2 linked regions of the Arabidopsis thaliana genome follow. The protein of the gene in region 1 interacts with the protein of each later gene in a pairwise test. Each region holds a gene or a part of one and is shown on either strand. Other genes may lie near its edges. The genes, in order: AT4G20790 and SUB.

Region 1 (4,154 bases):
GCCAAGATAGAATACTAAACAAAAGACGTCGTGACCAACCATGGAGAATCTTCGCCGGAGAACTTGTTCAAGTGATTTGAAAGTCTGAATTTTTTCGCAGTTAATAGCCTTTCCTGGCCTAGTTTTATCAACCTTGAAATCCCACCAACCATTGGAGTAGCAAATCCACCGGCCGACCATGGAGACGCAGGATTCATCGTCCCCTGAAAAAACGAAAACAGAGTCATCGTCTCCATCGTTATTTGTTGGCCGTACACTCAATTTCATAAACTGTAAAGCTTCTTATGATAACTCATACCTTCCATCTCGACAGATTTTGACAATGTGTGTATGATTTTCGAAGTGACGAGGGTTTATCTTCTTTTGACAATGACGACTTCAGAGAAGATGTCGACGACGAGAGAAGTTTATGTTCAACGAGGGTTTAGGAGATAAGTTTATGTTTGGTTTCAATGTCTTGAGGACAAATGGGTTTGAGTTTTGTGATATTAGCCCATGACAAATCTTGAATTTTGAATGATATTGGGCTGGTTTGAATTTGGCCCATTAGTTTTCATCAAAACACAAGAGGGGTAAAACGGTCTTTGACTATTTGCTGTATTAGAGGAGGGCTGTATTAGAGAGGACAGAAGAAACTACCCTATCAGCCTATTTTTAAAAAAACTGTCTAGTTCTCAAATTATTTCCCTAAAAACTGCCTAGTTCTCAACTTATCTCAAATGACTATTCCTCTCACTTTTTGAGTTAGTGCTCATGGAAGTAGCATTTAGCTTCTGTTGAATTCACCTTTTAATGCGTTGCATTAGTGTAAAATTCTCTAACAATTAAGAAGCCTGAGTAAGTTTGCAATAAATTTTATTTTCTTTATCAAAAGTTTACCTTTTAGCTCCTGTTGAATTTCCATTTTTTTAAAGATTCATTAAGACAATAACTATTATTTTTATATATTTTTATTATTCTTAATTAAGAAAATACAAAAAATTATAAAATATGTTAATAACAAAATAATAAACAATACAACATAGGAAACTATACCAATTAAAGAAATTAAATGCATATAGATTAGATGAATAAAAATAGAAATGTAGAAAATTAAAAATTATATATATGATTCTATAAATCTAAATTTTAAATTAGGCATATTAATTTGGTAAAATTGCAGAAATATAAAGTTCATTGGATATAAAGTGAAACTATTGAAGATTTTATTGATAGTAGTTTATATAATTCAATTCAATTCTCAAACAAAAATTATATTTAACATTGAGCACATTTACCAAATAATTATCGACTCAAATTCACCCACGTAGATGTTTGTTGCGCAAGAAAGAGAAAAAGTTTAGAACAAGATAAATAGACCAAAGAGACAAGAAATATATGAAAGGAATTCGAGGCACAATCTTACAAATACAAGCAAAACCATTCTAGATAATTTTTTACCAACTGACATAAACACATTATTATGTGTTCAATGACAACGAAAATGATAATTAAACATTGAAATTTGTTTTCATAGTGGAGCTATTGTAAAAAGTGTAGATATTCACAAAATTTAAAAAACTTCACAATTATTATTATTTTAATAATCTTCAACTTCCAAGCACACGATCACTAAAAGGAAAATGGGCGCGTAAATCTCATCCCACTCTGTTTCAAAATAACCGCCAACAACAACAACACCTCCAATAACACAGAAACTACCTCTCTGCTTCTCTCTCTAATCTCACCCATACACGAAACCAAATAACGAAACCTATTTGCTCTCTATCTCTCCAATGGCGTCTTCTCTGTTCTTCATCTTCTTCCTCACGTCACTACTATCATCCTATCTTCCTCTCTCAGTATTCTCCGCAACCGTCGTCGAAGACCTCGCTAATCTAAGTCCACCTCCTGATTTCAACACCACTATTTCCAACAACTGTCTTCGTGATCCAATGCTCCGTTACTGCAACAACACTTCCTCTTCTCCAATGGACATTGTCGAGATTTTCAGATCCACAATCGTCGCTAGTCATCTCTGTAACGAGTCCAAAAACCCTAACTGCGTTGAATCTTTCCCTAGAATCAGAATTCACGGTCGTCCTAAAACCGCTGCTCTTTACCTCTCTTTCGATTTCTTCTGGAAGTACTGTCCTTTAACCGTCGTTGATATCGAGTTAGTGAATAACTCTCTAACGAATGGTTTTCCGACAAATGTTCTGTCTTGTGCTCAGATTCGTACTCTTGATCTGAGTTACAACCAATTCTCTGGTTTTGTTCCGGTTCAAGATCTCTCAGGCTTACCCAATCTGACCCATTTGAACCTATCGTATAACCGATTCTCCGAGAATAAGATCTCGGATTCTGAGTTCTTCAAACGGTTTAACGCCTCTAGTTTCATACAGTCCGGTGTTCTTCCCAACGTGAAGCGTTACAAGATGAAAGTTTTGGTCTTGTTGATTGTTTTTCCAATAATGGTGATTTTGCTCTGTTTTTGCTTTGGCTGGTTATGTGTCAAGAGACCTGATTACTTACCAAGAACATGCCGGAGAAGAAACAAGTTCACATTCGCGATGCTTGAAGCAGCAACGGATGAGTTTTCAGATCAACATCTTGTGAGCATGAGCAATACAGTGGATATCTACAAAGGAACGTTAAGAGACGGGACAGAGACGAAGATCGAGGTTTATAAAGAGAAGGTTTCGAGTGAGAAAAGGCGTGAATTCGCAGAGGTATGCGAGATGGTTTTTAAGTTACGACACAAGAACTTGGTAAGAGTGTTGGGTTGGTGTAATAGTAGAAACATGAGAGCTTTGGTTACAGAATGGATTCAAGGTGAAAATGTTGAGACTTGGTTAAGTTCGTCAATGGCTTTATCATGGAGAAGAAGGTTAAGAGTAGTTCTAGGAGTTGTAGAAGGTATTTGTTATCTATCAGATCAATGGCCAGAGATTACATTTGATCTCACCACAAGCAGTGTTTTGTTATCCGATGATAATCAAGAACCTTTGATTTCTCATTTCAAGATTGGAGATAGAAACAACTTGTCAACAAGTAAGGCTTCATCTTCTTCTTGCAAAAATCAAAACCTTTTTAAGGCTATAAAAGCTAAGTCTGTTGTTGTTGTTGTTGTTGTGTTATTACAGATATATTCAACTTTGGATTGTTTTTTGTGGAGATGATTACAAATCTAAGACCTGATTTGGGACAAGAAGATTCAGAAAGAAGGTATCTTGAGTATATAAGAGTTCATTATCCGGATAATCTAGAGAGAGTGATTGATGAGAAGATGAAGATTGAGGGGAGAACATTTGATCAAGTTAAGCAAGCCATTACGCTAGGACTGATGTGTACTGATATAATACCACCATTAAAGCAACCAAGCTTGACGCAGATTTATGACTTGGTGAGTTCATTGTATGAGTCTAGTTCACGACATCATTGAAATACCTTGTAAAGCTTTATTGGTTTCTTTTGATTTTCAGACATCTGGTGTTAGATAGTATTGTAAGGATTAAAGACATATTTGTGTGTTTTTTCTTTGATTACTATAAGTACTGAGAGAATTTGCAGAAAATGAGTACTTAATTTGCAGACATGAAATCTGTAAATGGGCTTCATTTCTGCAAATGGGCTTTATTAGCTGAAATGGGTTTCATAGTTTTATGGGTTCTCAAATGACCCGACCCGGGTTGGAAGATATAGAAACTATACACTGGTTGGCAAATGGGAACGTTCGATTAAAAATTCGGTAACTACTACGACGTGACTTGTCTCTTCTCCGTTGAAAAGCCATCGACAGTTATGTATGAGTGTATCATTTATCAACTTGAAAGCAATTTCAGTTTTTAAAATAATCCAAATACTAATAAACCAGAAATTAACCCATCATCAAAGCATTAATAATCTTCATTACCATTTGAAACCGAAACTTGTATCACAATTAAATAACGATCATAAAATTAGACGTTTTTTTTTCTCTATCTCCATTTTCCCGGGGGAAAAAAGATCGGATTTTTGTTCTAATGTCATTGTCAAAATATTATTCGACAGATCACAAAAAAGGTGACCGTTTTTTTTTTTTTTTTTTTTTGGCAAAAAAAAAGGTGACCTTTTTATTTTGACATTGATAGTATGAATTATGGGGTCTGATGCTAGAAGTTCTTACATGGCGG
Region 2 (7,245 bases), on another chromosome or scaffold:
TCCACAATTTGATGATGATGAAGAAGCATAGCTCTTGTGGTATGACACGTTGGCATGACATGCCAAAGCTACCCGCGCAAGATGGAGGTGAAGCAGGGACTCACTCTGTTTGCTAGGAAGCAGGACATGAAGGTTCTTGACGCTGAAAGCGGACACGACTTTTTGTGGATCTACTTTTCATTTTCCTTGCTATCCCTTTGGAGTCTGTATGGGAAATCACTGGAAGCAATATCGACCTAGTATGCATTGGCAACTTTTGTAGAAGCTTGAAGGACTTGAGCTCTAGGGGAGGCACAGATGCATCTACTAACACATGTATGCTTCCTTGGCAATATAGTTTGCAGAAACCGTTGCTTGGGGTCAGTTATTTAAACAGTGACGGTAGTTCTCAGTCGACACCTCATGGTAGCAATGGGTTAGTTAAGAGAGGGGCAACATACATTGTCTCAGATGATCTTACTATTTGCGTAAAGAAGAAGTTTGATGTGAACTTGGACGATATTTTTGAGCATGAAATCAACATTGGCAAAACACATGTATATCTATATTACTATTCTTTCCTGATATTTTTTTTTGAATCTGACACTAATCCAGGCCATAGGTTTACTAAGAGCCTCATTCGTGACATCCACTGCCTTGACTACGGCTTTCGGGAGCTTTCTTTCAGAGAAACGACTCTAAAGCATCAATCACATGCCCTCTGTGGAGCAGATTGATTTGAAGTTTAGGTTTTGTTGTCTACAGTGCTAGTTGAACAAGTTACCTTCTCTTTTACACTACTGTTAAGTACAACCTTTTGTTCTTGAATTTTAATGTCTTTTGATTCAAAAAATGTTTATCCTTTTCAGAAAATAGAATCTAAATACATGATCAGGTTGGTGAATAATGTTTGAGCCGGTAATGGGATTGGGGTTACATAATGATGATCCCATAGCTCATTTCATACAGCCAACAACATACATAAAGTGTTATTATAATACAAAAGAAATACTTTCATTCATCAAAGGACAAAGAACAAGAATCTGACAATAAACTATTGCTTCTGCGTCTTAGTCCAAGGTTGTGTATCTTAGATCATATGTTGAAGATCTTGGACTATTTCTGATATCGGCGGTCTAAATCCTGGTTCCATCTACAGACAAAGATAAGCATGCACAGAAGTCAAAAGGGTTAGTTAATATTCTGATGTCACGTGTTTGACATTGCTTTCTCATCTAGTTAAGTGATGAATGAAGTTAAGTTTACCTGCAGTGAACGTGATATGATATCTGCAAAACGTGACAATGATTTCATTGGATACGCTCCGTGTAATGACGGATCAACCATTCTTGTCAACGCATCGATGTCATGAAGCCGAGGAATCGCCCACTGAGCTAGTGTTTGATGTCCCCTCGGCCTTGTCCTGCAAAAAAAAACAGGGTTTTGTCTTGAGATAGTGTAGTACAGTGATTTTGCATAAGAAACATAAGTGAACATGTTGACTTTTGAGTTCAGACTCTTTTATGGCTTCTATTAGTTGTCTCTTTAGAGTAGCTAACCTGTCAAATGGTCTGCGTCCAGTGAGCAGTTCTAACATTACAACCCCAAGGCTAAATACGTCGCTCTGACAAGTGTAGCTTCCATACTCAACCTCAGGAGCGGCATAACCCGCCATCTACAATTTTATAAGCAAACATCATATCCTTTACAACACTCACTCTTATGTTTGGGATCTTCAAAATAAGATGACAAATTTACCTGACTCGTTGGGCGTGGTGGTAACATATAAGCCAAACCGCTGTCTGCAACACGTACTGAGAGCTTTCCATCAAGAAGAACCTTGGAAGACTTGAAATTCTGGTGAACAACCGGCGGTTGACATACCTCATGAAGAAACCTGAAACCAAACTCTAAGATCCTATATGTTCCAAATATAGATTGGCGTAACATGTTGAGGTTCTTTAACTTACTGCAATGCCTTTGAAGCTCCTAATGCAATATTTATACGTACATTCCAAGTGAGCTTCTTGTGCAACTTGCGATCCAAATGTAGTGCATCTTGAAGTGATCCATTAGGACAGTACTCATACACAAGTAACCTTTGACCAAACTCGTTACAGTAACCAAGAAGCTCCAATATATGACCGCGTTTAAGCTTCAACACATTGGAGACTAGATTGAGGAATTCGCCGTCACTCTGTGTTCTGTTGATGGTATTGCTCAGCTTCTTCACCGCAAGAAACTATAGATCACAACGTGTCAAGACGTAAATAAGAATGCACAGCATAAAATACTGTAAGACCAAATGACAAATAAGAGGAAAGTGTCACACCTTTCCATGACGAAGCTCAGCTCTGTAGACATTACCAATCGACCCTTCCCCGATTATATTCTCTTCTGAGAAATTATTTGTGTATTGCTGAAGTGAAGCAATGGTGAAAACAGTAGCAGAAGATGAGGAATTCAAGCCCGGGGGGAAATGAGCCGCTCTCTTTGAAGCAGTATCATTGGACTGGAACTGCCTCGGTGGTTGTTGCAGCGGCTTTTGAGGTGTATTAACATCCTTATTATAATATGAAGTAGGAGGCATTGCTCTCCGGCTCTCTTCAGCCCGCTGTGGCATTGGATACCCATATTTCCTGTCTCCAGCTCCATATCCATCGAAAGGCTTAACCATAGGCTCCCGAGAAACTGCAACAAAAGAAAACACCACAGCAGTTTGCCGTTAGGTAATGAGCCAAAGCACAAGTTTCTTTTCTTTTCTTGGAAGGAAAAGAATCAGTGTACCTTTTCCCATAGTGGGGGTTGGTTGAGATGGAGGCTTATTGAAGTATGGTCGTTGTAAATCTTTACGAGCTCCACTGTAATATCGGTTATATATTTTACTTCTGCAACATCTCCAAAGTGTAACACACAAACCGGATACAAGAACAATTATGGCCACTGAAGAAACTACTAGAATGATTCTTTGAGTGGACCAGAATTTTCCTGATCCTGAACCTGAAGGAGGTGATATTTGCAAGGTAGGTTGCCCTGACACAGAGTTCCAGGGATCTCCTCCTCCATTATCAGAAGAAGGTGGTGACCAGACCAGAGGTGGTGATGGTGGTGGATGTTGTTGTGGTTGCAGTGGAGCAAAAGGAGCAAAAGGTGCTGGGGGAACACCAGAAACAGGAGGGATACGGGGAACAGGAGGAGCACGGTGAGTAGCGGGAGGAGGATCAACCACAGGCGGAGGCGGTGGTGTTATAATCGATGTATTGAACGGAGTTCCATCTTTTCTGCGGTTATAATGACAATGTAACATGAATGGCTAAAGAAAAGGAAAAAAAAAACATTCAAGTTTTCTTTTAGTAATACTTACTTGAAGTTTGGAATTTTCAATAGATTTGGCGGTATAGGTCCCGAGAATAAGTTGTTTTCTACATTCCTGAATCAAAAATATGAAAAGCCATAGTGAGATACTGAAGTTGGCTTAATGGTTGGAGAGTCAAGAACAAAGAGTATGCAAGGTGAAAAACGATTACAAATCGGTTAAGAAAAGATCCTCTATAACATCAAGTGTTCCTGTGAGCTTGTTGTCCTGCAAATACCTACAGTCCGACCACATCACATATAAAAGCAATGATAACAATGTTTGTATACGGTTTCATATATGTGCACTTACAATATCTTAAGAGAAGCTAAGTCTCCCATGGAAGAAGGTAAATGCCCCTCCAGTATGTTAGACGATAAGTCCCTGCATTAGAAACTTAATGTATAAATGAAAGACGCTGATGGGAGGATACAAAATGAGACTTAGTGAGGAGGAAATATACAGTTTTGTCAGTTTTGATAGCTGCTGAAAGTAATCTGGTATCTCTCCTGATAGAAGATTGCTTCCCAATGACCTGAAGGGAAAAGAAAGAGTCTGCTTCAAACAGAGGAAAAACCGCAGATGCAAGAAACGGTATCTACATTAATAAAGACTTACAGTTCAGACAAATCGGATAGAAAGGACAATGTAAAGGGAATGTTCCCAGTGAAGCGATTGCTTGAGAGAGATCTGAAACAAGAAAATGAAACCAAACATGAAGTGTCTTTTAACTGTTGGAAACATAAGTATTGCCATACACATAGTCAATTCTCAAACGCACAGGTTTCGGATGGAAGAAGGCAAAGCCTGCGGAATTGTCCCTGAAATATGATTGCTACTGAAGTCCCTGTCCACTCAAACAAAGAAGAGAGAAAAAGTATCACAAAGCAATTCAAGATTATAACCAAACCTTATAGTCAATGGTAACAACATCTTGCATGTTCTTCACATAGCAAGAAGCCTCATACAAAAGATGAAGATGAAAGAAAACAAGACAAGAAGCTTTGCTTACATGACTTGGATAGATGAAAAATCAGCCAGAGTATCACTTAAGCCTCCACCTACCTTCATGCCAGGTATCCTTCTGCAGCCAACAACAATAATTCACGTGGTTAGAACCTGAATTGGTGACTCAAAGCAAACCATAACAAAGAGTTACAAGAGCAGAAGAGGAAGTATACATTTCTGTGATGTTTGAGGAGTCACACACCACACCTTGCCACTTTTCTCCACAAGGGTCTCCTCCAAAAGCAAGCCAATGATGTAGAGATGGTGCTCCCAAAGTGATATACAAGTTATTAATCGCCGAAACTGCAGAAGTTATTAAACAACAGACAAACACATCAAAAAGTAAAATTTCTAGAGATTAAAGAATCTTTCTTATGATAACCATTTAATGAAGAACAATAAGAACAAATTTCTTGGTCTTGAACTAAAACCCTAACAAGAGCTTATGTGTCAAAAACCTAAACTTTTTAGGGTTTTTGAGGTAGCCTCAAAATCATAGAACTTTGCCAATCTGGAGCTTCCCAAACAGCTATATTGCTTACCTAGTTTACCCTAAAACTGATGTAAGTCATTTTCACTAGACACAAGTCTAAAAAAAATCTAGAGTGTTCACTAAACCAAAAGAAGGAGAGTCAAAGCAAAATCCAAATAAAAAAAACTTTGCAGAGAAAGATTATTACCATCTCGTAGATTAGTAACTCCAGCTGAGAAAGGCATTGTCAAGGCTAAAACAGAGAGACCAAAGAACACTTCCCATCTTGTAAAGCTCATAACTTCAGCCACTGAAGATGAGAAAACCCTTGAACTTGGATTAGATTGTTTCTTTCCAATAAAAAACGAAGATTCAGAGGGAATGTTATGGAAAAAAAACACGAGGAAGAAGAAGAAGAAGAAGAAGAAGAAGGGTGAAACAGGGATATTCCTGATTAAAAGGTAAAGTGAATCATAATTTCGTCGGATTTTTAGGAGAGAGAGAAAGAAGAAAAGAGATGAAGAGTGAGTGAGAGAGAAAGAGTGTAGTGTGTTTTGTCTCGAAGAACGAGCGGCTTACAAAAGCCAACGGCTTTGTTTTTCTCAGTTTTAAGCCTTTAAGGTTTCGTCTCCAAAGTGTGAAACAGAGAAAACTTGCCAAGACTTGTCTCTCTTTATGTCTTTTAATTGTCGCTTCTATGCTTCATCTAATTACTATAGTTTCCTTTCATGTAATAATTGGATTTTTCTAATGCCATAAGGTAGAGAGATAGAAGTGAATATTATTTTGATGTAGATTACATATTCCGTTACTTCACCTATTAAAATCCAAATAATGTAACAGGCAGAGTTTATCACACTTATTTCAGTGAGATGGGCCAAGAAAACAGTTGAAGTAAGAAAAGCTCTGAGAATTCTTTAATGGAAGAAGAGAGTGAGAGACCCTACAACAAGGTCAAAAAAAATATCATCATATTCATCCCACGTCCATTTTTGCTCTTTTGGTGATAAAAATGTGTGAATTAGTTTTAGTAACAAACTAATAGCAACAAACTATTTGAGAAAACTAGTACTTTTACATGGTTTGGAAATTGATTTCAATTATACATCTTAGTGAATCCTAATATATGTTTTTAAACAATTAGAGCCAATAAAGGGTTTTTTCTTACGACTTTAAATTGAATATACTTAGTAATTATACAATAATTATCTTTTCAATATATTCTAAAAATAACTAACTAATGTTATATGTATGATTGCACGGTGCATTTTGGTTACCATTCGAAACCTTTGTTTTTCTATTAATAATTAAGAATTCTGGTTTTGTGTTTACAGTTACAACTAACAATCACTATTTATCAATTTCTTTGGAATATATTCTTAATTTGTATTATTCTTTGTTTGTTGGTTGATGTGATGGAGGATTTGTGTACAATTCAATAGTAGTAATTTAATGGAATGCCATCATTGCATAATTTGAGATGAGAGTAACTTCGATATTCATATGTGATTACTTCTCAAGTTCCTTTTTTGGTAGGAGTTACTTCTGAAGTTCTGATATTCACATAAATTATTTGCAACCCGAATAATAACAGCAAACATACATTGTATGATCAATAAAGAATAAAACATGCTTGGTGAGCTTATGTGTTGATATTAGATTTTTATTTTGTCGAGATCAATTAATTATCAATCGATTTTTTTGGCTTGTCAAAATCAATCAAGTTCACACCATACACGATAATAAGTTGCGACTAGTTAAAAAAAAAAAACCACATTCTTATGGGCTATTCAAACCAAATGTGGCCCAAACTTGGTCAATAGTGTAATGGTAAAGCCCACTTGAAAGAAGATACCTCTCGTAGGCCTAATAATGCAATGAGATTGCAACGGTTACTTTCAATCTTTGAAGAAAAGTAGAAAACTATCGTACATGATGCTTTTTTGCACCCAAAAAAAATCGTACATGATAACATTTTTTTTTTTCAAAACCAATATGCCAAGTGCCAACCATAATAAACCGAACCAAAATCAAATAAATAATACCGAATCAAATTTTTGTTTCGACCGAACTCGACCCAAAACTACACCAATCAGGTTGGATTCATTTTGATTCTTGTACTTCAAAAAATCAGAAACCCCATATAATAATGATTGTAGCACTTATACATGCATACCAAATTAGTTATGAGATTGGAAGATGCATGATAATGAATTCAAACTATTGGTCTCTTAAAAAAGAGTGTCGAGGAAAAAATACAGATATTGTAAAGTTAGGCTTTATTTTATAATATGGTCTCTCATTACGCAAAAGGCGAAACAAAATTAAAGAATGCAACACTACTTTATGGTCACCCGTTAGCCAGAGGATCCAAGGCACATAACGAATGTTTTATTTATTTAAATCAAATCTAGTTACGTATCTACACGAA

Evidence for each region.
Region 2: the proteins of AT4G20790 (region 1) and SUB interact in a protein complementation assay, tested with the Arabidopsis thaliana proteins (2 studies listed by BioGRID).

Annotation. Positions count from the first base shown.
Region 1 is NC_003075.7:11,134,045-11,138,198, reverse strand, and holds AT4G20790 (Leucine-rich repeat protein kinase family protein), read left to right. Parts: upstream 1-1,775; coding exon 1,776-3,033; intron 3,034-3,125; coding exon 3,126-3,424; downstream 3,425-4,154.
Region 2 is NC_003070.9:3,721,003-3,728,247, reverse strand, and holds SUB (Leucine-rich repeat protein kinase family protein), read right to left. Parts: upstream 5,541-7,245; 5' UTR 5,114-5,540; coding exon 5,023-5,113; intron 4,680-5,022; exon of another isoform or gene 4,646-4,679; coding exon 4,516-4,645; intron 4,419-4,515; coding exon 4,347-4,418; intron 4,182-4,346; coding exon 4,116-4,181; intron 4,025-4,115; coding exon 3,953-4,024; intron 3,870-3,952; coding exon 3,798-3,869; intron 3,719-3,797; coding exon 3,647-3,718; intron 3,573-3,646; coding exon 3,507-3,572; intron 3,410-3,506; coding exon 3,344-3,409; intron 3,261-3,343; coding exon 2,767-3,260; intron 2,671-2,766; coding exon 2,312-2,670; intron 2,222-2,311; coding exon 1,950-2,221; intron 1,877-1,949; coding exon 1,738-1,876; intron 1,655-1,737; coding exon 1,539-1,654; intron 1,403-1,538; coding exon 1,246-1,402; intron 1,133-1,245; coding exon 1,070-1,132; 3' UTR 798-1,069; downstream 1-797. Other genes in the region: AT1G11145 (hypothetical protein (DUF674)), read left to right, coding at 82-132, 204-536, 612-716. UniProt on the Arabidopsis thaliana protein: Regulates the expression of transcription factors that define the cell fates.